Linked DNA regions of Mus musculus: all the other regions are reported to be linked to region 1. Evidence: microRNA targets listed by miRTarBase, many of them from high-throughput screens and not tested one by one. Region 1 holds a microRNA gene; each other region holds the end of a gene's coding sequence.

Region 1 (4,524 bases):
TTTAATTGTCCAAAATATGACCTTCTTTTCACCTAGTGGCTTTAAAACTAGAATTTGTGTTACTCTATCAATACACAATCATGCTTTTCCAAAGAAGTGGATATTCATTCACTTCAGAACCTCAAAGGAACAGTTTCCAAAAATTTGTATATGTCAAAGTGAATAGCTAGGGCTGTCCCACATGGTATTGGTGAAAAATACAACCACTGGCTTCCTATAAAGAAAATATTTCATCATGCAGTTTCTTTGATAACTCTCGAATGGTTGGTGCTAAGAATAAGCCAGACAAAAAAATAAGCACATAGATATATACACATGTATATACATATATATATAATTGTAGGAGGATCTAATTCATGATTTTCTTGCTTGTTTGCTTGTACGTATGTTTGTTTGAAATACAGTCTCTCCCTATATAAACCAGAGTAGCCTGGAACTCCCAGAAACCTTACTGCCTCTGCTTTTTGAGTGCTAAGATTAAGGGTGTGTGCCACCACACTTGGCCTACAACTCATGATTTTAACATAAAGTGAGACCCTCATAAAACAAATGGAGTCATTTGAGAGAAAAGGTGGGAATGAATGCAGATGTCTTTGATAACTCAATCAGAAACTTAAAACTGGTTACAGTGGCAAAGTTTGTTTGTATGTATGTATATGTGTGTGTATGTATGTATGTATGTATGTATGTATGTATGTATGTATGTATGTATATGTGTGTATGTATGTATGTATGTATGTATGTATGTATGTAGATATATGTGTGTATATGTATATGATGAAAGTTGAAGATGAGTATGAATATGATGCCCTTTCTTACAGCTCCAAAAGTTCATCTACCCTACTCTGTATGTGTGTGTCTGTGTGTGTGTGTTATATGTGTGAGATACATGTGTGTGTGTGTGTTACCACAAAAAAATTACTAAAAATAAAAAGATCCAGTATAGGACATATTCTTCTCTGAGTACCTTAGCTGATAACATTTTCCCTGGCAAATCAGCAAGACTAGACAGATTGTGACATTCTATGCCTCCCTTATACCTCAAAATATTATCCTGAAGAAAAGTCTAATTATATTCTCCTGGAATGTCCTTAGGTTTAGGCTATACCACAGAGAAATGGTGATATGCCACATAGTGAATGGGACCTGGACTTACGATTTGTCTGAACTAAATATAGTGCTTAAGGTTGGTCGAGATTTTTACCTAAGGTCAAAAGAGTTGATTGCAATAGCAATTCCTAACATTATATTTTATTATTTATTGAGACGGGGTCCAATATAGCCCAAGCTGACCCCAGAGGTGATAAGTAATTGGGAACAGCCCTGAGCTCATGATCCTCCTAAGTCCATCTCTCAAGTCCTGAGATCAAAGGCTGCACCAGTGTCCATGTATGTGGTACTTGGGAATCAAACCTAGGCTTTTCATGTAGATAGATGATAGATAGATAGATAGATAGATAGATAGATAGATAGATAGATAGATAGATAGATAGGTGTGTATGTGTGCACACATGTATGTATATATGTAATATACATATATATGTATATATGGCTATACATATATATGTATATATGGCTATATATATATAGCCAGATGTGGTGGTATATGGCTATAATTCCAGAATTTGGGAGACTGAAGTGTAAGGTCATGAGTTCAAGGCCAGCCTAGGTTATATAGGGCAACCTTGGCTACCTATACTAAATATATTCTTGGTAATACCTTTATTCAGATGGTATCTTTAAAGGATAGAAACAGAACTTATAGATAAGTTATTTACTTAAATTGGAATGGGGTTATGTAGGCACTCATGCACACATGCACAGTTGCATATATTCTCCCTAATGGGTCAATAATATGGCATGAAGTAGAACACTAGAATCTTAATAGATTTACTGAGGACTTACTGAGTTCAATGCACTATGAAGAGAAAAGGTATTATTACAGTCTTTCTTTTGGCTGAAATAAAATCCAAGATTGAAACTGTGTAATTCACAGACTTTCCTCATGAAACCAGCTCATCTGAGAAAACAGCAAAGTTTAAAAAAGAAATACTATCAGTAAGTATGATATATTTCCTTGGTTTGGAAATTTCCAAGCCACGATATTCTGCCCTGTCAAAATATATTCACTGGGGAATTTTTAACTTGATGCATTTCTTTTGAACTTAATCACATTTCTACATCTAGCTGGTTTCATTATTAAAGAAAAGAAAAGGTGGTTCCCCTCTGGTCCTAAAGGGAACCACAGACTTGAGTGATGCTTGAACTTCTAGGTTCGCGTACAGTAACACTGAAACCAGAAACTTGTGGGAGAAATGTCACTTTATCTGAGAGAGTAAAATCCAACTCTAACAGGAAACAGCAAATTCATCTTTTTTCTTTTTCTAAACCACTCTGCTGGAGACAAGTCCCTTGAGTCAGAGCTCTTTAAGGCGCACTTCCTTTACATGGGTCAAACTGAAGCCACCGGTTTGTGAGTCCCCAAAGGAATCACTGGAGGACAACAGGAGCATTTTCAGATACCTTTCAGGGCAGACCTGCCCTGGCTGTACCCCCTATCTTGAAGAAAAAGAAAAACGAATAAGGTGAAAATCGCAACTACTATTTATAGAATCAAAATGGGTTCATCCATTGAGTTTTAACTTTCAAAAATCATAAAGTACCATCCTAAATATCTGAGATTTCTTGAATTGCCTAGTGACCTGTGGGATGTACGTCAGAATATTACCCAGAACTGAAGTTGTGTCCTTTGAACTTCAGCATTGTAGAACTATGAACCGTGGCTGTGTTAAAAATGATACATGTATTCAAATATTTCCACAGAATTTAAAGTTTGATTTTATAATTAGTTTTTAAATTGCAAACCTTACAAAAATTTTCCAAAATTTACTTAGAAGCATTTCAGAGCTCTTTTCTTTCAAAGCTGAAGTCTACCTTGCCTTCAGATTCATAATCGTTCACTCTACTTTATAACTAACTGTGTGCGTACACACAACTATTTCTTTTTCTCTTTGCAGGTGCTGCAAACCAGGAAGGGGAAGTGTGTGGTTTAAGTTGCATATCCCTTATCCTCTGGCTGCTGGAGGCTTGCTGAAGGCTGTATGCTGTTAATGCTAATTGTGATAGGGGTTTTGGCCTCTGACTGACTCCTACCTGTTAGCATTAACAGGACACAAGGCCTGTTACTAGCACTCACATGGAACAAATGGCCACCGTGGGAGGATGACAAGTCCAAGAGTCACCCTGCTGGATGAACGTAGATGTCAGACTCTATCATTTAATGTGCTAGTCATAACCTGGTTACTAGGATAGTCCACTGTAAGTGTTACGATAAATGTCATTTAAAAGATAGATCAGCAGTATCCTAAACAACATCTCAACTTCAAGCCCACATGTTTATTTTTTATCTTGAATGGAAAGTGAAACTTGTATCATTTTTATTTCAAAATTATGTTCATAACCATCTTCAATGATTCAACCAGAATACAAAATGAATGCACTAAAAAGGACATTTCTATATTTCTGTAGTTAAAATTCAGGACGGCCATTCTCGACTGACATCTAGGATTGTCTGGAATACCTCTTGTAAGACTTGGAATTGGCATTTTTTCCACATTACAATGTATTAGTCAACTTTGATTTAAAATTTGTAACTCTTGTGTTTTAGTGTAAGGAAAAATTTAGGGTTAGTGTTAGAGTTTAGGGCTAGGTAAGGAAAAACTGAGTCAACACTGAATGATTTTTTTAAAATCTATGAGCCAGCTGTTGGTAGTTTACTCCTTTAATCCCAGCACTCGGGAGGCAGAGACAGGCAGATGGCTGAGTCGAAGGCCAACCTGGTCTACAGAGTGAGCTCCAGGACAGCCTTAGCTACACAGAAAAATGCCTTATCAAAAAATTAAGAAAATAAGATGAAGTATTAAAAAGTGACATGACAAATCATTCCTGAGGGCTACCTATATATTCCTCACACGGTATAAATATTTAATTTAATTAATATTTAATTTCAAATATTCACATTTGAAATGAAACCCAAATCTGGGTTCAAGCTTACTGCTTTAGCTGCACAGTAAAGCTGTGTAGTAAGGAGACCCACGTTTCCTACGCATTTCTTCATGAATGCGGATGAAACTTTACAAGGTTGGTGTGCAGCTCACTGGAGATGAACAACTCTTTGTAAGGTAATAAAATCCCACAGTGATGTCTTAAAGCCAATCCAAAACTCACCCCGTTGCCTGACATAGGTAATAATTTGATATACAGAAGTTTAATGTTTGAATTCCTATGCAATTTTTCTCCACAGTGATATCACTGACGAACACATAGACAGCTGGACTTGTTATATTTAATTTATACCTGTTCTTTTTTTTTTTTTTTAAAGACTTTTTATTTATGTATATATATGTATATATATATTTATGTATATATGTAAGTACACTGTAGCTGTCTTCAGACACACCAGAAGAGGGAGTCAGATCTTGTTACGGATGGTTGTGAGCCACCATGTGGTTGCTGGGATTTGAA
Region 2 (4,456 bases), not on the chromosome of region 1:
AATTCACTTATAATTTTAGTACTAATCACAATGAAGTTTTTAATGCCTGACAAATTGTAAAACACCTATTTGGTGTGTCACCTAACAGTGTGACCTATGAACCCAGGCCAATCCTTTAGTATTAAACCCATTGCTTTTTCCTATGTCAGGGTAACTTCAGCAGTCTTGTGTGGTTACAAACCTCTTACATAATGCTTGCCTGACTTCCAAGAAAGCTAATGTTTTCCTGAAGCAAATGAAGTAATTTAATAAATGCTTACAAATCCTGCTCTTGATTTTATGTGGGAGGGCTGCTTAATCTGTTTTCTCACTGTCATTCTAATGGTGTTCTTGATGAATATCAAAAGAAAAATCTAACCAAACTTACTTCTAAACTTCCTTCAATGTGATGTATAATTTATATGCTTAGCTCTACAAATGCAGAGTGTTTTTTTTTTAAGTGCACTTTGTAAATAGAACAGTGTGTCCACTATGGAACATTAGTTTCTAAGATTTTCCACTTATTTCTTAAGACTGGAAAATGTACATGTGTGTGCACATGTGCATGCACACATACCCAACTGCTTCAAGATGGTTGAGCCCTTTTCAGCCTGGCTTTGAAGACATTTGTGGAGTTGGAGCAACTGCCTAAGCTGGTATGCCAATTGGCAAAGAAACAATTTTCAAATTTATTAAAAAATACAGAGAGAAGTAAGTCCTTAAGGGTTGGTTCTGCTACCTGACATTGGACCATCCCACAAAAGGATGCTAAGAGCACTGACTTCTGTCAGTAGCTAGGATTACTCATTATATGGGACTTGAGGCTACGCACATGACCAGTAACAGGATTATATCTAATTGGAGAAGTTGGCTTAGTAATGGCCTGTCCATACTCCCTCATATCCTGAACACAGCCTTCAGGAATTTCAAAATGCTCGGTACTCTGTAGTCAGGATTTTCATATCTGTGACTCCAGGGTAATTTTTTGCTACCTAGTGTTAGGGTTTTATGACAGAGGAAATTTTTAAAGCTGAGCCCTAAATGATAAAGAGCCGTCTAGGGAGAACACAAGAAAGGGCATTCGTCCCACAGATAAGAGTAAGTGTGCAGATGAACTCATTTCTTTAATTGTAAGATATGTGCATGGTCAAAACCAAACAGGTTCTCTGCCAACTCCTATCTGAGGGAGAAATATACTATTTCCATTTCTTCCCTGATTGGATGCTGGCCTTAGCTGCAGCAAGTGAAGTACAAAGTGGGTCTTTTTCATGCTACACTAGACTGCCCTGAAGCCCAAAGTGGCATAAAGGGCTGCATAGTTGTTTCCAACAAAGCTGGGTTGCCTGGGGACTTCCTCTTGCAAACAGTGAAGGGCAGGTGATGCTAGAGACCCAGCTAGCAGCTTTACAAACAAGACAGAAAGCATTTAAGGGAAACAAGGTGGTCGGCAGGGGGCCAGATGTGAAATAGGTGGGGTGAGTTTGAGGACCTTGTAACTGATCCCATGTAAATGGGAATGAGAGTTTGAAGGGAACCAGTTCCCTGGGCTCCATGATGGAAAGAGGAACAGAACGATGCCAAGCATTTGGTAGCTGACCAAACGACACCTAGAAGCAATGTTACTTAAAATGTCTAAAAGACAGATGGACACAAATAAAGAACACATCTGAACAACACTGGCTATTTCTAGTGTTTGGGAATAAACAGAATTGCTAAATGGGACGTGCAATGAGTATGTATGCAGAACAGTGGGGACTTTATAAAGAAGTACAAACTACAAACCACTCTTAGCTTTACTTGGCGAACATACACACGTCTTCTCATGGAGACCACTGTTGTAGCCTTGTAGCTTCCCTACAGCTCTGCTGTGGTGGTGGGAAGGAAATGACCTTAGGTATAAAGGAGCAAGCCAAGGGCCATGAATGCTGCTGCCATTTGCTGTCTCCTGTCCCTAGTACAAACCAAAGATTATCAAAGCAACGGCACAGCAACACATGGAAGTACTTAACTAAGTTCAGACTTTCCATCATAAAACCTACCAAAAACTAAAAACCCGAAAATGCTGTAGCTGTAGGCTGCCCTGTCTGTTTTACTATGTGCGCAAAGGGTCTGTCTGAGCATGTGTGTCCAAGGCTTTTTCTCCCCTAGCTGAGCTCTGGGGGAGACACAGCTATGTGCATTCTTTCACGTGCCTTCAGGACAAAGGAAAGGAGCACATACTGAGATGAAGACTGAAATCGGCCATACTGCACCACTCACCTGGCACAGCCACTGTAGCTCTAATGCACGTGTAAAGGCTGTTGACACTGGTCTGTGGCACTGTGCTGTTCCAGGAACAGACGGTCTTGTTTCCATATCGGTGCTATCAAAACTGTTGGACTTATGACAGTTTTCTTTTGCATTTACAGGGGAGCCCTGGAAGCTTATGTTCAGTCAGTGAGAAGCAGGGACGGTAAAGAATTTGCACCAGTTTATCCCATTATGGTTCAGCTGCTTCAAAAGGCTATGTCTGCTCTTCAGTGACTTGCAGTCTCCATGAACAGACCCGTCCAAAGGTGGCAACTACAACTAAAGATCATGGTTGATTTTCTGTCCTTCCTCTTTCTGTTACCTCCAGCACTTTTTCTTTAAATGTCAGAATAGCTCAAGCATCTCAGCCTTCACATAGCACCCACATGGCTTTTTCATAAAGCTACCTATGTTCCCCTTCTCAGACGATGGAGGAAGGCTATTTTACTTGCTGTCATAGTTGGCTCATTATTTTCACTGCTTATGAAGGGACAGTATCCTCCCAGCCTGCCACTTTCTTTAGTGTTAAGCACATAACGAACCAGTGAAAGAAGTCACATCGGCAGGGAGTTGAGGAGTATACACCTGACAGAGCCACTCTACCCCAAAGTGATGTGGGCATGTAGTCAAGCCCAGTAACTATGGCGGAGCCCAAGGCTGAGGCAGACACACTGCTAAATGCTCTTTACTGGATCTAACTACAGCTTTAAATGAAGTCAGGGTTTCTTTACAGTCATTTTACTAGAAACAGGCACTCAGGGCCTTATTTTTTAGTCTTTACTCCATTGTTAACATTCTTTAATTTTTAAAACCCCACCAGAAACCTACTTATAACACCAGAACTCAGTTTTATCAAGAATTTGTTTTCCATCTGCCAATCAGATTATACTGATAGGTATCATGAATTCAGTCAACCAGAAATCAAAGACAGACCTTTTTTTTCCTTTTATTTGAAATAATATACAAGAATATAGTGTGCAAAATTGAGGGGCAATATGTTTAACAAGTGTAAATCAATTTTACAGCTGTGATTACTAACCAAAACTCTCACTTGGTAAGTAACATGAGAAGCCATGATTGTAGCTCAGAGCAAGAGCAGCAGGACTGCTGAAGTACTTGCTCTGTCTCAGAAGCCGGAGGGAGTAAAGTGCAAGTGGTGCACTGCAGTAAGTGCAAAGTCTGCCCCACCAGAGACACACTGACAGCACAGATGAGGGTATGTGGCTGAGGAGACAGGAACGCGGTCAAACACAATGGTGTCGACTGGTAACAGCACCATTACAATGACTGTCCCAATGCTATTAACTGACTGCACCTTGGCCTGGCTTGGGCCCCACTGGGAATCATGGAGCTGTGCTGCCCCCTGGTGCATCCACTCAGCACATGCCCATGGTATCTGAAGCAGGTGGCTCTTTGAGCTGAGACAATGACACCGACACCATCCACCTGCCATGTTATGTTGTCTCTTGGCACTGGCCAGACTAGAAGCAACTGTGTTTGGCAGAGATGCTGGGCCATGTGGTGGCTATTCATGGAAAGGCCAGCGTCTGCTTCACTCCTGATATCGTGGGTACAATACAGATTAATAAGCAGTAAGGAGCTGATGTATAAACAGCAGTTACGTATTTTTAAATTCCCCTTCGTACAATTTAAAATAAAACGTATACACATCTTTCTACTGTACTTTAGCACCACAGGATATCAATTTTCAAGCCTATATTACCTGATAGATATATGAAGTTTGGAAGGAAAATAAGGCAATTTGGTTTACAATGTTGATAGTTATAGCTTAATGCTCTAATGGAGAAAGCAATCCTCACCCATTAAATCATTACAAAACTCAATGCTCCCAGCATTTTATGGTCACACAAATGTAGACAAATGGTGAGACCAAGGTCTTCCAAGCTTTTCCATCCAGAGTCAGTACTTATGCAGATGCAGACTTACAAACACAAGCATCAGGTTTAATGCTGTTGAGAGCCCTGTGGAAACAAAATAATTGGTTCTCAGTTTCCTAATGGCTCATAGCTTAAGTATCTGGAAAATTTAAACAAATGTGAGACCAGCATGCACAGAAAAGTGCTAATGTCCCAAATGAAGTTCCAGACATTAGAGAATTTGTAGGGAATGGCTGTGTGGTTCCATAGATATACTTTGCCTTTAAGCACAGAACCTTGGGTTCAAACCC
Region 3 (3,000 bases), not on the chromosome of region 1:
CCAGCTTGGGGAAATCCATGAGTTGATATGGTTTTCTTTTTAAAGAACACTTTAGAAAGGAATACTATGATTATGAAAATGTCTTGTGTGATACTTTTCATTTATAAAGAAGTTCACATAAAAGCTGCTTAGGAATCAGAATTGGAAACCACATTCCTTTCTCCATTAGAGTCAAATCATAATGGTATCATTACGTGCTAAGTGAATTGACAAGCAAACCACAAGTATTCTCACATAAAAAGATGACATCTTGATGGAAATTAAAATCAAGCAAAACAAGGTGATCACTGACAAGGTGAGACTAAGACACAAGCTTAGTGTCTGAGACTCCAAGGTAACCTGCATTCATCCAGCACCCAGTGTGTTAAAAATTTCAGTTTCCTGATGTGAAAGAGGAGTAAGATGAAGGCCTCATAGACTTTCAAGACTCTAGAATTCTAAATGTATTTGACTAAACAGGTGTTTTTGAAATTGCATGTTAAAAATAAGAACTGGGCCAGGCGAGATGGGTCATCAGTTAAGAACACACACTGTTCTTGCAAGGGACCCAAGCTCAGCTCCTAGAACCCTCTGCTCAACTCCATGACTACTGTCCACACTAGATTTACACACCCATAAAGACATTTACACAGGCACATGATCTAAAAGTAACAAAAATGTTAGTGCTTGTGGGCAGATTTTGTACATGGCATATCACTAAGAATGGCTTTACTACTCAATATTGGTTCTGTCTAATTTAAGTCCAATATTCTAATGGCTTTTTCTTAGTAACTAATTTGGTAATCACTATAGCCACCTTCTGTGTATGGTTACTACTTCTGTTTAAGCTTCTGCGTGATTATGCTTTGCTCCGAGTTTTTAAACTTTTAGTAAGAATAATTGCATTTCACCTTTTCCTTGGAAAATATTATTTAATGGATTTACATATATATGTTGATTATAAACTCTAGTCATAATCAGCTAGACACCTATGAAACAACTAAGAAGAACAGTCTTTTTCTACCTTTGGTATGTGTACAAGACTCCAGTTACAGTACCTGGGCTAGGAAGCTAGATTACAAGTAGTCTTGAATTGGATGCTAATACAAAGTATTGCCTCATGTGTGTCCTTCAGTGTATGTGGCAAAGGGCAACACTTCTGACCTTCCAGTAGCCTGGATGCCTGGACAAACACAAAGTCAATTGATTCTTTTTTGTTGACAAGGCTTTATCATATACCTTAACATATAAACATATTACCAAAAAGTGTTGTATGTAATATAAAGAAACTTTAATGACAAGCACTATGAAGTTGATACCGCATTAATTAATATACCAACAATTTAAATAAATGTTGCCCTTCCCTTCATAAGTACTTATTCATAAATTTATGTCAGCATCCATCTACTGGTTGCAGAACTATGGAGTAAGTATTCATCTACTTATTAAGCCTGTCATTTGTGGCCCAACCTGAGGCCTCAAGGCTGACTACAACCTCTATTGGAGTTTCACTCTTGCCATTTCAATGTTGGCATATCTTGTATGGCAAAAACTTCTAAAGACATCAAATTGCTAACTTTAAATATGCCTATTTTCAAAAATACATCCTCACTAAATACTTCTTTTTTACGTATATGATCCAAATTCATTGGCACGAGCGTTGTGTAAAATCTCTCCCACATATTTGTATTGTTCTCTGTGAGACATCTATTGTGAGCATGGCTACAGGCTGTCGTTTTTGTCTGCCATCCAGCACTTGCTAGCCAAGTGTTGTGTGCTAGTCATGGTGTCAGCCACCAGGGGAGGGGACATCTGCACTGCAGCCAGTCGGGTTTGTTGCTCCCTTGAAATTAAAAGCATATGAAACAGATACAGCTTCTTAAGGTTTTTTTCTTTATAAATAACATAAACTTAAATAACAAAACAATAAAATTCAAATACAACTTAAAGTAGAGTTTAATGCTGTAATCACAGAGGGAAATAAGCATGATTATTTGTGGGAAGAGCATTTACTAAAAGTTGTGTTCCCAAATGTGATTTATACAACAGATAGATTTACTTGAAAAAAATGTAAAGATTTCTGAAATTTATTTTAAGGGATTATAAAATATTATTTTGTGGTGAGATGAAATACAATATTATCATCATTATTGCTATTTTATATACAGATTTTTAAAACATCCTGTTAGCAATACCTTTTCAATTTGAGTGGATTTTTGTTCATATTAGTCAGTACAGGCATGTTCCAAGCCTGTGATTTTGTAAAACCACCTGTAGATTCTATTCTATAATAAAATGTTGAAAACATTCATTTTTCCGGATTATAGTTCTCACTGGAAAGCTTTCAAACACTGCTCATCGTCTGTAGTTTGTGTGGGGCTTGATCATCTGACAAAGCATCCCAGCAGCCTTTAGGTCTGACATACCTTATATAACATCATCTGCATTATTAATATTATTATAGCAGCCATTTTATAAGCAGATAGTGATATTAAATATTCATTATCAGATAGTCAAATCTAACATACTCTTAAGGGTAAATTAATTTAAGAAAAATATCACGTTACTAACATCATGATTGTACAACCACTTTTACAACTTTTTACAACCTTTACTAAATCTGATTTTTGTGTATATTCTTCAAATCTTTCTTTAATGCAGTCTTTTAAAATAAACAAAAATGCGCAAGTCCAGCTTGATCAGTTTTCAGTAGTTTTCCAGCCTTTCTTGGTTACTGAGAGAGAGAGAGAGAGAGAGAGAGAGAGAGAGAGAGAGAGAAGAAAAGTCCACTGGAAAGAAATCTCCCTGCTGAATGAAACTGGTTTCTCAAATACCATGTACACTTAGGTTATTGCCATAGGAAGAAAATGGGCTGTTTTTTGTTCTTTCTTCGTTTTCTTCCCTTTGACAGGAATCCCCTTTTGATTTAAGGCAACGAACATTTCCCCTCCGCTGTGTGTCCATTTAGCTGATGCATAGGTGTTATAATGGTTTTCCAGAATCAGTTCTTTGAAGTTGCAA
Region 4 (4,524 bases), not on the chromosome of region 1:
AAAAAGTCAAACACAATATAACATCTTTTTCACCTCAATAATTCTCAGCTTTAAAAAAAAAAGTATCCTTAAAAAAAATTCAATAACTGAGGCAGTATTCCTGATAGAGATAAATTCACTTTAACATATATACTTCATATATGTATTTGTATACATATACTTGTGGTTCCTTGAAACGTCTTTGGAATGTACGTAAGAGTTCAACAGGTTTATATAGACCCCAACAGAGAAGGCCGCATGCACAGCATGGCTAGGAGAGAGAAGGTGTGATTTCACCATGAAGGTTAATGCTTTAAAACCCAGAGTGCTGGTCTCCAAAGTGAGGAAGAGCATCTCTGATCCTGAATGCTTACAAGGTCTCCATGGCCACACCATCAGAGCTCTCCGCAGGGAGCATCCTTAGCCCCGCCTCTGAGCCCAAAGCCAGCCACACAGGTTAAAGCATTTCTCTGGGAAAATGATGGAGTCGCCCAGCTAGGTCAGATCTGTTCATCCTTCCTGTGAAGTGAACGTGTTTTAAAAGAGCATCAATGCAGCAATGCTGCTACATTTCCAGTGTATAAACCACCCGCCACTCTTCCTGGGATGGTCTCTGGCCTTCGGAGGAGATGGGGGAAAGCATCTGGCCAGATGGACAACAAAGCTGTCTGACTAATATACTATCTACAAATCCTGAAAAGTGGTGGACCTAGGGAGAAAGGGCATCAAGGCAGGCAAGTCAGCACGCTGAGGAGTGTGGGAGACACTTTCTTATGTCTTCTCTGCTAGGGGACTGCAGGTGGTAGGCTCTCAGGAGGGGCATTCCCAGCAGGAACCCAATATGGAGAAGGGTGAAGACTTGGGGAAGTGATTTTTTTAAGCCCTGTTGCAAAGAGCAAACAACAATACCAGCCCCGGCTGTACTCTTTCATTCACCATTATGGAAATGTGAACAGACTCTAAGTAGAAAATTCAGTACTATTTCAGCTGCAACTTTATACAAATGTACACACACACACACACACACACTCACACTGTCAGTGCCCAACAAAGATCACATAACATAAGAGAAAACAGCATAATCCAAATGATCCCACCTAACACTCCCTGAGCAGCTCCTAAATATTTTGAGAGCTTCATTAAGGCACCTGCATTTGTAAGATCAAAATATATAGCTGGAATGTTTGGCCTTTGCTTCCTTGTGGGGATGCTCCACTCAGTCAGTACAGAACACCCACGGACAAGAGTTATAGTCTTAGTAATTCAGAGTCTTCAAGGGAATGTGGGAGTCAGCCATCAACTCTCCTGGAAGATGATACCAGGGAGCTACAAACCCCGAAGGGTGAGCCTGGAGAGGCCCACCTCAGCCAATTGCCTCTCTTCTCTCAGGGATGTCACTGTCACTGTCTTAACTAGGCAGCTATACAGTGGAAGGGATTCTAATGATCCCAGGCATGTCTCCTTACTTTTTTTTTTAACCCACAATGGCTTATTTTCAGGTCTCCTCTCCCATCAGGCAGGATGATGGCTGCCTCAATTAAGTCTGAGTTTAAACTTGGAGGAAACTAAACATCTATCTAACTGTCTCGGGCCACCTTATTTTCCTTACCTAAGCGCCTTCCCTTGTATTTTCTCCGTCTCCCTCTCACCGCAGTTGACCTGGGCTTGCCCTCTGCTGAGGTGGTAACAGGTCAAGTGCCAGTGCTCCCTGCCACTTCCCGGCAAGCAGTCTCACCTGAAATCCTACCTGACGAGCACCAAGTCTTCAAAGGAGGCCGAGTCACATGCTACTGAAATACCCTCTCCACTGCCGTGGCCTCCGAGCCCTAGCAAGTCTGGACTCTTGGATTTGTGTTGTGATGGCTGAAACTACACTTTCAGTCACGTGTCAGGATGCATTACACTCCACTTTCACTGATCAGTGATGAGGGAGGGGCAGCAATGAGGGATGCCGGGGGGAACATAAGACAAAGTAGAGGAGAACTGAGAATGTTAGTTTGGAATGGCATGCATTGAGGCCTTAAGACCCTCGGGGTAATGCCCATGCAAACGGCTTTTATTCTGAGTCTTCCATGTTTCGGGTAGCGGTTTAACCAAAACCCAGGTTAATCCTGCTCCTTGGATTTCGTTTCCAAGACTTGAACTGTGCTATGATGCCGACGATTCCATAGAAGAGCTGCAGAATACATTCAGTGCAGAGACTTAACGCCCCGTAACTAACACTAAGTCCAAAGCCTGACAGTGAATCAAAGGAAAACAGTTTTTACAAACCGCAGGTGGAAGTCACACGCACAGTCCCCCTGTCCCCAGATCAGCATTCGTTTCCTTTAGCTGTAAGAGTTTGGGGTCTCTGATCTCAGTACAGAACTGGGATTTTTCCAATGGGGTCTATATAAACAGTTGTCTTTCACTGTGACAAGAGTCCTCAGCCAGCAAATAACAACAAACTCACAATACTGCAATACTGAGACCACCTTAGAGCTTAAGACGATATTTTTTTAAGGAAAAAAAAATACTGGCACAAAATTTAATAAAATAAACTTCAACATAAAAACAGTTTTGGACCCCTTCAATCAAAGTCCATCATTGTTTCAAAAAGTAGAAAGGTTAATAATTCTTGAGTTTAGTAATCCCCTGAAGAAACTGTTTTCAGCCCACCCACAAAACTGACTGGCTTTCATCAATCTCTTTCATCTCAATGTGATCATTCCTCCCACTAGTAGATCCACAACTCAAGATGAATTTTTTTTTCTTTGATTTAAAAAAAAAAAAAAAAAAAACGGACACTTAAGTTTTTTTTTCCTCTGCAAGCCAGGTCCAACAGGCTTCTGAGAAGACCTCTCCCTTCTGAAAGTCTGCTCAGGAGCTATTGCCCCGCCCACCCCGCAGGTCCTGACCTCCTCTTTCCGGCCCACCAATGGCCAATGGAATACAGCGGCGCTCCCTCAGCTCCCACCCCTGAATGTGAAAAATGAGTTCTGGAAAATAAAACATTGAATAACAATTAAAAATGAAGAGTCCAACCAACAGGGTTGCTCTTTGAAAGGTCTCAGCAGGGTTCCCCCAGCCCCTTCCTTCTGCGCGTCTGTCCATGACTAGTCAGCATCCGGCTTTACATCCAGCATGGCGTGCAGCTCTTCAGGGGTGTATCCCAGCAGGCTCTGCAGGTCGCACACAAAGCGGTATACGTAGCGCTTGCCCGCCGTCTTGTGGATGATATTTTTGTCATAATAGTAGCGAAGGCCACGGCTCAGTTTCTCATAATTCATCTTAGGTTTGTTTTTCCTCTTTCCCCATCTCCTGGCCACCTGTAATAAAAATAAAATTAAATACAAGTGTCTATACAAGTCTTCACATCCATCATGGTGGTCAAACAAACATCATGTGTGTGTGTGTGTGTGTGTGTGTGTGTGTGTGTGTGTGTGTGTGTGTGTGTGCATATGTCTGACTTATTCCTTCATTTCCTTTTTTAAAAAATATTTTGAATTGTTTATAATAACTATACATTGAATGTATAGTTAGGAGCCATGGACATTCTGAGATTATTTCAAAAGATGTAGGCAGAACAATGCAACATTTTAATACAGCTGTGCATTGTGTCGTGATCAGACCAGGCTAAATGGCATGTCTTCAATCACAGGCATTTCCCATTACTTTCTGGGGACCATGCAAAATAACCCACATTAGCGATTCTGAAATACCTGCTAATGTTCTGTAGGCACCCTACAGTACCACAGAGATTCCAGAGTTGCCAATTCCTGTACCTGCATTCTTGGGCTCATTAACCAGGGTCTCCCCAACCCCTTAGCCTCCTCCTGGCCATGCTCAGATACGTCACTCTTTTATCCTCTGTGTCTGTGGAATCAGCAATTCAGTGTCTACATGTAAGCGAGAATATGTGCTGTCTTTCTGAGCCCAGAGTATTCCTCTCAATAGGACAATGTCCCTATCCCATACATGTGACTGCAATAGAACTTCTAATTTCAAGTGTCCAAGTGTTGAGTTCCATTTACTTGTTCAAACAGTGACTCTGAACTCCTCTGGAATACAGTTAAAACACTTGGTCTTGAAGGAAAAGGAAGAGCCGTGGGGCAGACATCCCTCTGGCCCACATTATAAGCAGGCATCCTTAAAATGAAAGCACAGAACTGGGCAGAAGGGAGAGGATGGGAGGAGAGCGCTGGCACCTCTGCTTCCACCAGTAGGAAGCATCCTTTCTGGACCAGGGTAGAGACACGTTCTCATGTCTGCCAGAAGAGAGATCTCTTCGTTCATATACCAACCATTTATTCAACACTCTGGGATGAAAGGATGGAAAACGATCAGAGTGGATGCATCTTTCCAGATGCACAGAGCCAGGGACTAGACAGAGGGCAGGACCAACTCTGTACCAGGAACTTATATATACATCAGTTTGTCCCAGAAAGTGTACACACTTTGGGCTCTGCCAATGATGAGACAGAAGCTCGGGCTGGCTGCATCATAGGTCGCACACGCAGCAAGCAGCAGAGCTGAGCTAGAAATCTGGGCCTACAGGATCACAAT
Region 5 (3,000 bases), not on the chromosome of region 1:
AAGCCTGATCCTCTGGCCCACCTGTCCATGATGCCTCCGCCACCCGCGCTCCTGTTGGCCGAAGCTGCCCACGGCAAGGCCTCTGCCCTCTGTCCCAATGGGGCTCTGGACCTGCCACCTGCCGCTCTGCAGCCGTCCATGGTCCCTTCCTCATCGCTCGCACAACCATCAACTTCTTCCTTACATTCCCACAACTCGCTGGCTGGAACGCAACCCCAGCCTCTGTCTCTGGTGACCAAGTCTTTAGAATAGCTCCGCCTCCTCGTCCTCCATGCCCCTGCTTGATTGAAGTGTTTCCTTCTGGTTCTTGGTTCGCCCTTCCCCGCTTGGAAAGCTTTTGTTTTGTACTCTTTAATTTTGTGCCGCCGTGGCTACATGAGTTAATGTTTATGGAGTTCATTGGTCAATATTTGACCCATTCTTATTTCAATTTCTCCTTTTAAATATGTAGATGAGAAAAACCTCATGATTCTACCAAAATTTTTATCAACAGCTGTTTAAAGTCTTTGTAGCGTTTAAAAAATATATTATATATACATAACTGTTATGTAGTTCGGATAGCTTAGTTTTAAAAGACTGATTTAAAAAACAAAAAGAAAAAAAAGAGAGAGAAGCAATTTTGAAGCACCCTCCAGAAGGAGTTGGTTCTGTGTTATTTGTATTAAATACGAGCTTGCGAACCAATCACTTTACACCTTGGTATTTAAACCACGAGGGCACAAGGAATGCAGTGCCGTTTCTTTCTTTCTTTTTTTCTTTCTTTTTTTTTTCCTCCCAGTGTGAAACAACTTTTACCTTGATGTTACTTGTTATTGTTTAAATGTACAGAAACAAAGGGTTAAAATGTGTTAATATACCTTGTTCCATGGTGTTGTTCTTTTGGGGGGGAGGGGACACCACTCAACAATGAATGGAATCAACACTGTTGGACCAGTAGTATTTATTGCTTTAGAGGTTGCTTGCTGTACCTGTATGTCCGTCCAATTTTAAATATGTTTTCCCTTTTTTTTGAAACTGTGTAAAGTCCCCCCCAACCTTAGCGTAAGCATCTTATATATAACAACTCATTTGTACAAGGTTTTTAAGTTTATATATAAAATGTGTATATATTTTTTTGTTTCCTTTTTTTTTTTTTTTTGGCGTACGTTCGTTCGTTCGTTTGTTTGTTTCTGTATAAAACCCAGATGCCACCAAATGGACATTGACATTCGCATTAAGGATCAGTAGCATTAACAAAACTTGCTTTAAAAGCCATTCTGTAAAACAAGACTTGAACATTAGCGAGAGGGTCTGAGCAGCCGTCTGAGCAGCCGTGGGAACTGCCCCGTTTCCCCCTTGACCTCCTAGTCAACTGCCCTGTGCTCTTAGAACATGGACTGACCGTGTGCAAAACTTTTATGTGCCAAAATTCTCAGTGACTTTAGCTTTCTCCCTCCTTTTTGATGCTGTACTTTCTGTTCGCCATGTTTTGCTGTGATGTTACATAGATAGATTTGTATGTAGTTTTAATGTCACCTATAACAAAATGTGTTTGGTAGCAGACTGTCCAGAAAGCATTTTAAATGAAGAGGTCTAAACCCTTAAGGGCCAAAAAAAATCCTGTATATTAGATTACTCTTAAATGAAAAAGAAAAAAAGAAAAAAAAAAACCCCAGCTGCCGCTTTTATGTATGCATATTACATACAAGTAGGTAGTGACCTTTAAAAACAAGAAAACCTAGGCATGCCGATGTTGTAAAATGCTGTATAAAGCTGAGACCTGTTCCTTCAGTGCCATCGTAGTTGACATGAAGCGATTGTAAAACTGTCTCCGGTTTTCTCTGGTTTATTAAAATGCTAACTATAACATTTTCTTTTCTTTTTTTTTTTTTGTGAATACTTTGAATGTCTCCCTAACAGTTGTGGTGTTGCTGTTCTGTTCGATGCTTATTCCAAGTTCATTTTTTTGAATGGTTTTGAAGCCATTTTGTAATGAATTAAATGTCCATGCTGTACAGTACCTGTAGCATGCCTGCCGTTCTGGATTAATAAAAGCAACTTAGTATGTGCAGAAAGGCTGGCCGCTTGCTTCTGTGACTTGGGGGTGGGAGTGTCTTACCGGACACTGGACTTTCTCTGGAGGGGTGCATTCCCTTCCAGGTTAGGGCTTGAGGTGGTGTGGGTAGCATGTAGTGGTGGGTGTTTCATTGTGGTGAAGTGTCCTGTGTACAAAGGGACCCTAGGGTGTCTTCTTTATACCCCACTGTGTCACAATAACTGAACAGACACTGCTTGCCTGGCCATTTCTCACTCATACAGCCTGTTGTGCAGTGTGAGACAGAATTTGATTTTAAAAACTGATTTAGTTCACCCTGAGTGGATTTAAAGAACTGAGTGGGTACCACTTAAGGATGGTGAGTGTGAGTATGCCCTGACTGTTCTCTAGACATTCCCTGTGGGAAGAAGGCAGGGATGTATCTAGCAATCACTGAGCGAGCAGCTTTTCAGAAAACTGGCATCCCACTCACTGAGCTGTGTGCATGGAGGGGAGGGGACTCACAGCTGTGCATGGAGGGGAGAGGATTCACAGAGCTCTGCATTAGAAGGGTCCTGCTGTTCTGGAGACCTATGCTACAGGTTATCTACTGGAATAACTTCAAGTTTATCCCTATCACTGAGGAGGGTCGCAGTGAAGATCTTCCTGTGGTCATTGGGTGTCTCTTCTCAATGTCCATTGGATGGAATTTTTATTGTCCACATGTCTAGGACAGCTGCGCCTTCTGAGGGTAGACATTTTACGCATCCCAGAACCCTTTGTGTGACTGTCACTTAAGATTACTATGATGTTGGGTCAAGAACTTTCCAGAGCTCTGCCTCGCTTGGGCTAGCTGTGGGTCTGTGTACTTTCTGTATTTTGTTTTGTTGTGCTTTGTACGTTGTAAGAGTATTTCTGATCAGCCTTCCCTACTGTATTCTGTACACAGGCCCCAGACTGACCTTTGAGAATAGAAATAAGAGCAC
Region 6 (4,524 bases), not on the chromosome of region 1:
CTGTCTTTGGACGTTGGTTAGTTCCAACAGCTGTCAGTCACAATGAGAATTCCGTCACGATTGTTTGAGGAGTTTTTAAGTAAACATGCAACATTGCGGATATGCATTTGGAAATCTGCTCATTAGAGACCTGTCACTAATACTTGCTAAAGACGGTGTTGGGAGCATCAGTTTGTCTGCCTGTCTTTACTAGGTGAGGTCTAGAACGGTTGCCGAGTGCGTAGCCTTCTACTACATGTGGAAGAAATCAGAACGCTATGATTACTTTGCTCAACAGACAAAATTTGGAAAGAAACGCTATAACCATCACCCTGGTGTTACGTAAGTATAGTCTTTGACTTGAGTGACTGCCATGTTTACCTGTGATGCCCAGTTAAGATTATGGTGCTTTCTTCAGGGACTACATGGATCGTCTCGTAGATGAGACAGAGTCTCTGGGTGGTACCGTCAGTTCTTCAGCCTTAACTTGTAACCGGCCTGAGCCCGTTCCTGATCAGCCGCTGAACATTCTCAGCTCCTTCACTGCCAGTGACCTGACAGGTAAGACGAGGCTGCGTGCACAGCCTGCTGCAGGCTGCATTCTGTTGTTGCAGAGCAGTGACCTCTCACTTAAACTCCTTTCCGTTCTTTTTCTAGCTTTAACCAACAGTGTAGCAACTGTCTGCAACCCCACCGCTGTGAATTGTCTGGATGACAGCTTTCCTCCGCTGGCCAACACGCCTCGTGGACACGTCAATCATGTGCCTGTCGTAACGGAAGAGTTACTCACCCTGCCCAGCAATGGTGAAAGTGATTGTTTTAATTTATTTGAGACTGGATTTTATCACTCAGAGTTAAACCCCATGTGCAGCGAAGAATCCGAAAGACCAGCAAAGAGATTGAAGATGGGCATTGCTGTCCCCGAATCCTTTATGAATGAGGTTTCTGTAAACAACCTGGGTGTAGACTTTGAAAACCATACACATCACATCACCAGTGCCAAAATGGCTGTCTCTGTAGCTGACTTTGGCAGTTTGTCTGCCAACGAGACAAACGGATTCATCAATGCCCATAGTCTGCATCAGCACCAGCACGCCGCCCTTCATTCAGAGTGATGGGAACGGGAAGCCCAGAGACAATGGGTATGCAGTACCAGTAAACTGAAGGGGAGCTATCAGGTTTGCATAGTCTTTCACTGGAAGTTTGAACCTTTTTCACTATGACATCAGTGATGTCAGTATGTATAGAACTATATCTTGATTTATCAAGAGTATTTTCATTTTTCAATCCATAAATGTGGAAATGAACTATGATCCGCAGAGTTGGGAACTAAGATGGAGCTCTGTGGTGCAGCTTTAAGCTCTGCTTCTCCTCATCCCTTAGTACCTCTTCCACGGCCTCCTTTTTTTCTGTTCCCGCCGCCCTCATCCCAGATTTAAAACCTGTAGACAGAGGCCACCAGCTCAAACCAGCACAGATGTTCAGAACTGATGTGGCCTCTTTTCATGTCAGCTCCTTTTGCCGTAACGGATGCAGTGGGATCAATGTTTACAGGTACCAACCCCGATCCCTGTTCAATGTAGCATTATTATTATTTTTTTTTGTTTTCTTTATTAATAAAAGCAGGGGTAGGTTTCTTTAAACTGCACAAACATGCAAGGATTTTTTTTAAAAACAGAAACTTCTCTCATGTTATTCAACTAGAGCACTTCAGTTTACAAAACAGCAAGACCATCTGTCTGGAAGCCGGCGCGAGGAGCTGTGTGCAAATGAAGGAGACACTTGCTTGGATCCTGTTTCAAAATTCCAGACCAGGGCTACCTTACACAGAATTGGTCATTGTACTGCCGGGGGACTTCTGTGTAAACTTTTTTTTTTCTTTCTTTCTTTTTTTTTTTTTTTTTTTACAAAAAAATTGGCATTTGAAGATGTGGTATTCATATGGGGTTTTGTCCACCATTGTCAAGATTGTAATATTAAAAATCATACTGGTCACTGGTAATTTAGTTTGTTCCGAGGCAATTGACTTGCAAGGCACAGTCTACAAAGCCCAGGAAGTTGCCACAGTGGTTTACATTTTGGGACACCTTGTTTGGAGCACTGCAGTTCAAAGTGTTAATATACTTAGACTTCTAGATGGTATACATAACGCAGACCCTTGAAGCTACTTTGTTTAGCTCAAATAGTTGGAAAGAAAACTGTGAGTTTCTGTCTGAAGTAGAATGGTACGTTACCACTTTTAAGTTTTAAAACGTGACAGATGTTCACGTGCATCTCAGACGTGATTTCACTTTTATTCCAAACATGAGTAAGAAGCCATTGTCATAGCTTTGACCATTTTTGCTTTATTAGACATGCTCCTTTTAAGTTTTCAGGTGAGTCAAACTCTACAACACAGTGTTAGGATATAAGCTTTACTTTTACAGTTAAAACAATTACTTTTTGCACCGTCTTAATTAAATATTTTGATTTTTTTTTTTATTTTCCTAGTTGTGTTGCTGTTTATAAGTGTGAGTCGCTTCAAGGTCGTGCTGAAGAGTAGGTAGGAGGTAGTGGTCCTAGTGACTGGACGGGAGGGTATTTATTGCACAAACTGTGAACTGCAATGACATCCTTGCTTTTGGATGGTGTGTATTGTTTTCCTTTGCAGCATTTTAATGAAGATTGCTTTGAAGTGTTTACGCAGTAGCACATTAAGTATAAAATTTAGTTTAGCACAGAGGACAAAGGGTAGTTAAATTAATAACTTAAAATCAGTCTTTAACTTATACATCTAAAATTGAGTATTCCTGTATGCACACAGTAAACAATGGGTAGCCTGGGCTCCATGTTGCTTTCTAATACTCTCCAAGTGGTTAGCTAGCTTTTTATTGCTGTGCTGTGCTAAACTTTGAACCTTGGTTTTTTCGTTCCCTTCAGTAGACTTTCTTTAATGTAGGAGGATACCGGGCATGTTCTTGCATTGTTAAAACTATATTTTTCACTCTGGGTTTACCGTGGCTGGTCTGTATAAATGATTTATACAAAGATAACTGAATGCTAATACCAGTTGCACTTACATGAAAATGCCCATTCTCTTTGGCTGGCACAGTTTATCTATGCATCGCTGGGGTCTTGATGTAAGATGGAAACAGTGTTTCTCATCTAGAGTTTTGATTATCAGCAAGTTGAATGGACACTTTAGTTATTTAAATAGAGTTTTGACCAAAATCCAGAAAAATGATATGAGAGAAATAAATTCCAGCTAGTTTAACAGATTTTTAAATGCTAACTGGATTTTAGCCTCTTAGAGAGTGCTACCTAGCTGGTAACGTTTACTTTTAATTCCTTGTTAAAATGAGGCAATAATTTGCAAGATTTTTGTATATATGTGTACAGTAAATTCTTCATATCTTTTTAGACCTAATTCAATATTTTCTGACTGCTCCTGTCATGTATGATACATTTTTGTGCATGCCTGATGTGACATTCATAAATTGTACCACTATGACTTTATCCATGTAAAATAGCTATTTATTGAATTTCTTCCAACAGCTGGACTTATTTTTTTGTCTCCATTTGAACATCTTAACAGAGAATTTGTTACTGTTTATTAAAAGAATTGAGTTTGAAAGCATAAAAAATCTGCTTTGCAATCGTATGAAGAAAAACAATGCCTTTATTATCACGTGTTAATAAGCACAATTCTTATAGCAAACGGTGATGAATTCTTTGTTTCTTTCATTTGCCGCAATATTTTCATATGAACAAACCAAAAATCCATGGTGAGCAGTGGCGGTGTCGGCTGGCCCATCCTGTGTGTCCAGGGCACTCGGAGGATGTGGACGTTGACGAGTGTGACCTGGTGCTGTGACTGGAGCAATACTTTACTTTCGTCACGTGTGCTTCGCCGTGCTATGCCGGCCTTTTAATGTTTAGTTTTCCTCTTGTCATGGTCAACTGCTGAATTTACTTGAAGGATGTAGAATACTATTTAAAAAAAAAAAAACACAAAAAACCTAAAGTCTGTACAATTAGGTCAAAGAATTGTGCAATCGCTTCCTTTTTAATTTTTAAAATTGAAGGTCACAAATATTTGCGATCAGACCTAATAGAGTAGTAGCGCTATTTAATTTAACCAAAGTCTAGTAAATACTTCAACGTTGAATGTAAGCTAACAACCCGACCACCAAGGAGATTGTCTGCCCAGAGTTTCAAAGCACATTGTCTACGAATGGAAATTGAAATAATTTATAAAATATTGACATTACTATGTTTTTTAAAAAGTTCCTAATTTTTTCACTAAAAGGAGGGAAACTATTAGTTTTATTGTTAAATATGGTAGATATTAATATTCCTCTTAGATGACCAGTGATTGCAATTGTCCCAGTTTGAACTAAGTACCCTGTGAGTATGAGGAACTAGTGACAATCAGAACAAGTTTTAGTATCCAGTGTTCAAGAGGAAGTTGCTATTGTTGCATTGATTTTAATATTTGTACATAAACACTGATTTTTTGAGCATTATTTTGTATTTGTTGTACTTTAATACCTGGTGTACAGTTCC
Region 7 (4,524 bases), not on the chromosome of region 1:
AAAAACTGTCATGCAAAGGGGAGGGCAGGCCAGTGAAACAGGTCAGCAGGTAGAGGCACCTGCTGCCAAGCCTGACTATCTGAATTCAATCCTAGAGACCCACACAGTGAAAAGACAGAACCAATGCCTTTAAGTTGTCCTCTTGGGCCTTCACCTGTGTTCTACATCACTCCTACAAACACCACATACACACTAAATAAATAATACAATTTTTTGACATCTTAGTTGAGGAGCCTAGCCCTTAATATCTGAAACATCTCTCTAGTCCTGATTTTAAAAAATTAGCATGAGTCAGGTGATATAAAACTTTTGGTGAAAAGTGTCAACCAATAGAAGGCACATGTTGTTGGTCACTCTGGGCCAGCACAAAGCTGCATCTTGGATTCTCAGTCCTTCAATATTCCCGGTCTCGGGACATGAGGTGGTCTAGTAAGAGAGAACATTGCTTGTTACAGAACCTCAGAGGAACATCTCAGTCTCACTGAGCAGCACTGGACAAAGACCAGGGGTGGTTCTCAGTCTCTGGCTGGGAGTATAAGGTCCAAGGTGTGCACGCCCATGTCAGGACGGTCTTCTCCTTCACCGTTGTTTGAAACATGTAGAAAACTCAAAAAGTCATTTTAACATTATTTTCTCTCTAGACAAGACAATGTTGGCAGAAAGGATCCCAGTTCCCTCTAGTCCCGTTCCCATAGCAACCATTGACCTGGTACAGCAACAGACAGAAGATGTCATGCCACGCGTTGAGGCCAGACTTCCGCCCAAGAAAACCAAGCACCAGGAAGAGCAGGAAGATGTAAATAAACCGGCCTGGGGGGTCAGCTCCTCGCCTTGGGTGACCTTTGTCTATGCTCTCTACCAAGTTAAAGAGCTAATTCAACTGACAAGAGAGAGCCGTGCTTCTGAGATACAACCTTTACAGGTAACCCTCTGCTGGGCTAGCGTGGCGTCTGCACCGTTACTCCCTCCTTGTTCATCAAAACACATGGGAAACAGAAAAACAGGCATGTTAGCAAAGGATATCAGTGGTCTGCGATCACTCTGTCACAGTGTTTACCAGGTAGCATAGGAAGAGACTGCTTTATGGAGATCAAAAAGGCTTCACAAAGGCATTAAAAAAAAAAAAAGATCTATTCCAGCTTTGCATACTACAATTTTCAGCCGGAATATACAGCTCTTGCTTTCAGAAACTGTGTTTCCTAATCTCTATAAATCAGAATTCCAGGGGACCATTACACATACCAGGAGTGCAGTAAACAGCGGCTAAATTAACCCATTAAGCTATGCCTCATATGGCTCTGTCTGATAACCCTACTCAGGAAGTCTGGTTCTGAGAGGCCTCACTTGGGAGGTAGAGGCATGTTCTTTTCTGTTCCCAAAGGCTTTCCTGAAAAAAAGGTCAAATGGTATTGATAAAGTCAGCAATTATAGAAATAAAGTCATACCCTGACTTTGGAAAAAGAATGTGCCTTCTGTGAACAGTTTGGTCAAAGCCATAAATCTACTCCACTGTTAGATTAATCTTTCCACTTTCTTGATAAGTAATGCCAGCTTTATATTTACAGTAGCTTAAAAGGACCCAGAGGAGGGCAGGCAGGATGGCCCAGTTGGTAAACACACCTGTCACCAAGCTCGATGACCTGAGCTTGATCTCTGGAATCCAAATAGCTGAAAGACAAAGCCAACTCCCACAGGTTGTCCTTATACTTCCATCCCCACTCCATGGCACACTTATACTACAATACAAACAAACAAAGAAACAAAAACAAATAAGTGTGATTTTTAAAAAGAGACTCAAAAGGAAAAATAAGAGGGAAAATAAAGAGTAATTTCTTTTTTAAAAATTTGACAAAATACTGGTGATTGCAGAGATGGCCCAACAGTTGTCTGCTACTGTTGCAAAGGGCCTGAGTTCGGTTCTGAGCATCCAGGATGCGCCCAGCATCACAGCTGTATGTACCTCTCTCTCCAAGGGCATTAATGATGCTCGTGTGCAGGTGCCCATCCGCCAACATGCATGCACACACATAATTCAAAATAAAGACAAAGCTTCATAAAAGAAAAAGCAAGTTTGTCCAACTACCTTAATGAATCTCAGCTTTATAAACATCCTGGAAAGTCTTTGCATAGTTTTCCTGAACTGACACTTCACTGATAGCCATATTCGTGCCACTCTGTGCATAATCCAGTTTACTCATTCATCAAGCCAGGACTGGACGTGAGATGGAGGAGCACTCAGAGGCTTCCAGAGCTTAAAGCAGGAAGGAGACGCAGGGAAAGGATGCCCCGATACCCAGGAGAGGCAATGCTTTCAGTACTTTGTGAATTTATCCTCATTTTTACAGATGCCCAGAAGCCTGTGCAGCATTAAAGTTTGCTTTTCTTGCCCTCTTGTGTGAGTTAAAATTAGTAAGAGCTGACAGGTATGTTATTGTATTGTTGTGAGGTAACTACATTTCAGAATCAGGGGAATGAAAGAAAAAAATTTTTAGTTCAACTACAGGAAATAGAAATGAACATCAATTCAGAAGAAAAAAAATCCTGAAATAATCCTGTTCCCTGAGTTGTATAATCAATGTAGCATTTACTAAGGGTACTGTGTGTGTTCTCAGATCGCTCCCATTGGCTTCAAAGACCTGTGTGCATTCCCTGCTCTGTCTTGCTTAGTTATTAGTACTCATTTTGAAATCCTACGTGTGCATTAGGACTCTCTCACAGGCATTCTTTGCCTAGATATCTTGAGGCTGAGGGTCCTTGTTTACTGATTACTATACAGTGTCTCCTGGCTCTTGAATACTGTGGCCTTCCCAATAGCTAGCATTCAGGTATCCCATGGCTCTTGCCTGGTGACTTGCCACAGGGCTGGGGTACTCTGTAAATATTTGTGACGTATATGTAAATGTAAAGTTGTTTGCCTAGCAGTGACAAGAACACAGATACAAATGTTCCCTTAGCCATAGGTATGTCTGCTTATAGTGTTTGTGTTTTTCATGCGGCTTTGGCAGTTGCACATAGGAAAGGAGATGAAAGGTAAGATGTCTATCCTATTCCTTTATGCGTTGGTCCCTGAAGTGGGCTTTTTGAGACATCACCACACATTAGCTGTGTGAAAATATGTATAATGGTTGGATTTGTTTTTTTTTTTTTTCTCAAACACCATGGAACATGTGTTTTTCCTTCCAGGGGACCAGTGAGAATCGGGAAGCCTCTCCAGCTGGTGGAGCCCAGCGTGCCCCACGTGAAACTCACTCCGCCTCACCTAGAAACCAGCCATCCCCTGACACAGCAGCATCTCAAACGCAGTCCAGCCCTGCTCACCCCAGTGCTACCCCGCATGGACAGGAGAGTGGAGAGAAGCAGGCTCAGCCCACTGTGGGAGAACACTGAGGGTCAGCTCATACCCTGCATGGCACTAGGCACCTCAGCCAGGACAGGGGGCGAGGCCCCAACCCTGACCATGCCTCTACAAGGGGGTCACTGCAATGCATATGCTTCTAAATATCTAAACTCATTACTGTGGAACAACACACACACACACACACACACACACACACACTCACTCACACACACACACTCACTCACACACACACACTCACACGCACGCAGATGCACAAATGCACAGGCACACATGAGTAAATGTTGGCAGGAAAACAGAGACTGCCACAGTCCAGTAGAGACACAGAACAACGTCTCTTGGTTAGTTAGGTCTGACCTAACTTCTCCACCAAGATGAAAGGGTGAGAAGCAGAACTCACACCAAGTTGGGTGAATGAAAGGGCCACAAAGTGAACAAGGACTTCATCTCCCTCTTCTGATTATTTATTCTGAATATTGGGTTCTTAGTGAAAAGTGAGAGGGAAAAAAGTATATCTATAGTTTTATTCGTCTTGAAGAAAAGAACTTTAAAAAATATAAGACATATTGAAAAGGGAACCAGATGGAACTTAGTAGAACATATGCTTTTTTTGTTGTTTAGAAAAGTTCACTGAACTTTGTACATCTCTAGCAAATCTATTTTTATATGCATATAGTATATAGTGAGCATAGTTCTTTGGGACGCAAAGCTGTTGCTGACTACTGCATACTGAGTTGAGCTTTAAAATGTCTTTGATGCAATGGGCTGTGAGAATGAGCAGAAGTGAGAGGCTATTTCAAAGACTCCAAGCAACTCAGTATCCTAAGACATGACAGACAAGGCCTTCCTAAGCAGACCCTTCTATAGCAGCCTCTGATGCTGGATTTTAATTAGACTTGGGTTCTAATTAGCTAATGGAATTAAAAAAAAAAAAGACAACTCACCAGATTCCTAAGTGTTAAGCTAAAGAGTACTATTTACAAACAGCAGGATAAGATTTAAGTGCCTGGGGGAGGGACATGATGTTTAAAACTTACATAGTAGGTCTGTTTTGTTTGTGAAGGAGTAAGTAGGGAACCAGGAATGGGAATTCTGGGAATAAGAATGACTTTCTAAAGACTTAAGACAAGAATCTTAGAATATTCTTCTCCCCCAAACCATAGTCATAC

What was found. The annotated mature microRNA mmu-miR-155-5p reads UUAAUGCUAAUUGUGAUAGGGGU and lies in region 1 at 3,108-3,130, shown strand. An mRNA with a match to its seed (bases 2 to 7 or 8) in the 3' UTR can be bound and repressed. Matches are read on the target gene's strand: a 7mer-m8 pairs with bases 2 to 8, a 7mer-A1 pairs with bases 2 to 7 and ends in A, and an 8mer does both.
Region 2: miRTarBase lists Hbp1 as a target of mmu-miR-155-5p. Seed matches in the 3' UTR shown: 8mer at 4,058-4,065.
Region 3: miRTarBase lists Fgf7 as a target of mmu-miR-155-5p. Seed matches in the 3' UTR shown: 7mer-A1 at 2,632-2,638 and 8mer at 1,936-1,943.
Region 4: miRTarBase lists Ets1 as a target of mmu-miR-155-5p. Seed matches in the 3' UTR shown: 8mer at 285-292.
Region 5: the mRNA of Tcf7l2 is a reported target of mmu-miR-155-5p. Seed matches in the 3' UTR shown: 7mer-A1 at 1,211-1,217 and 8mer at 1,226-1,233.
Region 6: miRTarBase lists Mier3 as a target of mmu-miR-155-5p. Seed matches in the 3' UTR shown: 7mer-m8 at 1,561-1,567 and 7mer-m8 at 4,478-4,484.
Region 7: the mRNA of Mfsd6 is a reported target of mmu-miR-155-5p. Seed matches in the 3' UTR shown: 7mer-A1 at 1,110-1,116.

What each region holds. Positions count from the first base shown.
Region 1 is chr16:84,711,036-84,715,559 of GRCm38, forward strand. Mir155 (microRNA 155) reads left to right here and starts at 3,105; the gene lies at 3,105-3,169. Mir155hg (Mir155 host gene (non-protein coding)) reads left to right here and starts at 1,988. Exons shown (of 2, transcript NR_132106.1): 1 at 1,988-2,058; 2 at 3,018-4,210.
Region 2 is chr12:31,923,258-31,927,713 of GRCm38, forward strand. It overlaps Hbp1 (high mobility group box transcription factor 1), which reads right to left. Exons shown (of 11, transcript NM_153198.3): 11 at 3,198-4,250. The coding sequence ends at 4,233. Cog5 (component of oligomeric golgi complex 5) reads left to right here. Exons shown (of 23, transcript NM_001163126.1): 22 at 2,388-2,534. The coding sequence ends at 2,502. Among named protein-coding and RNA genes, the nearest start is that of Hbp1, 25 kb to the right of the region's middle.
Region 3 is chr2:126,089,384-126,092,383 of GRCm38, reverse strand. Fgf7 (fibroblast growth factor 7) reads right to left here. Exons shown (of 4, transcript NM_008008.4): 4 at 1,199-3,000. The coding sequence ends at 2,823. All of the region lies in intron 11 of Fam227b (family with sequence similarity 227, member B), which reads left to right. Among named protein-coding and RNA genes, the nearest start is that of Gm26496, 19 kb to the left of the region's middle.
Region 4 is chr9:32,752,976-32,757,499 of GRCm38, reverse strand. It overlaps Ets1 (E26 avian leukemia oncogene 1, 5' domain), which reads right to left. Exons shown (of 10, transcript NM_001372534.1): 10 at 1-3,287. The coding sequence ends at 3,075. Among named protein-coding and RNA genes, the nearest start is that of Gm3331, 28 kb to the left of the region's middle.
Region 5 is chr19:55,931,606-55,934,605 of GRCm38, forward strand. Tcf7l2 (transcription factor 7 like 2, T cell specific, HMG box) reads left to right here. Exons shown (of 15, transcript NM_001331146.1): 15 at 1-2,050. The coding sequence ends at 252. Among named protein-coding and RNA genes, the nearest start is that of Gm52391, 5.0 kb to the right of the region's middle.
Region 6 is chr13:111,714,048-111,718,571 of GRCm38, forward strand. It overlaps Mier3 (MIER family member 3), which reads left to right. Exons shown (of 13, transcript NM_172593.3): 11 at 194-321; 12 at 398-540; 13 at 637-4,524. The coding sequence ends at 1,094. Among named protein-coding and RNA genes, the nearest start is that of Mier3, 30 kb to the left of the region's middle.
Region 7 is chr1:52,657,205-52,661,728 of GRCm38, reverse strand. Mfsd6 (major facilitator superfamily domain containing 6) reads left to right here. Exons shown (of 6, transcript NM_178081.4): 6 at 642-1,743. The coding sequence ends at 1,069. Among named protein-coding and RNA genes, the nearest start is that of Nemp2, 29 kb to the right of the region's middle.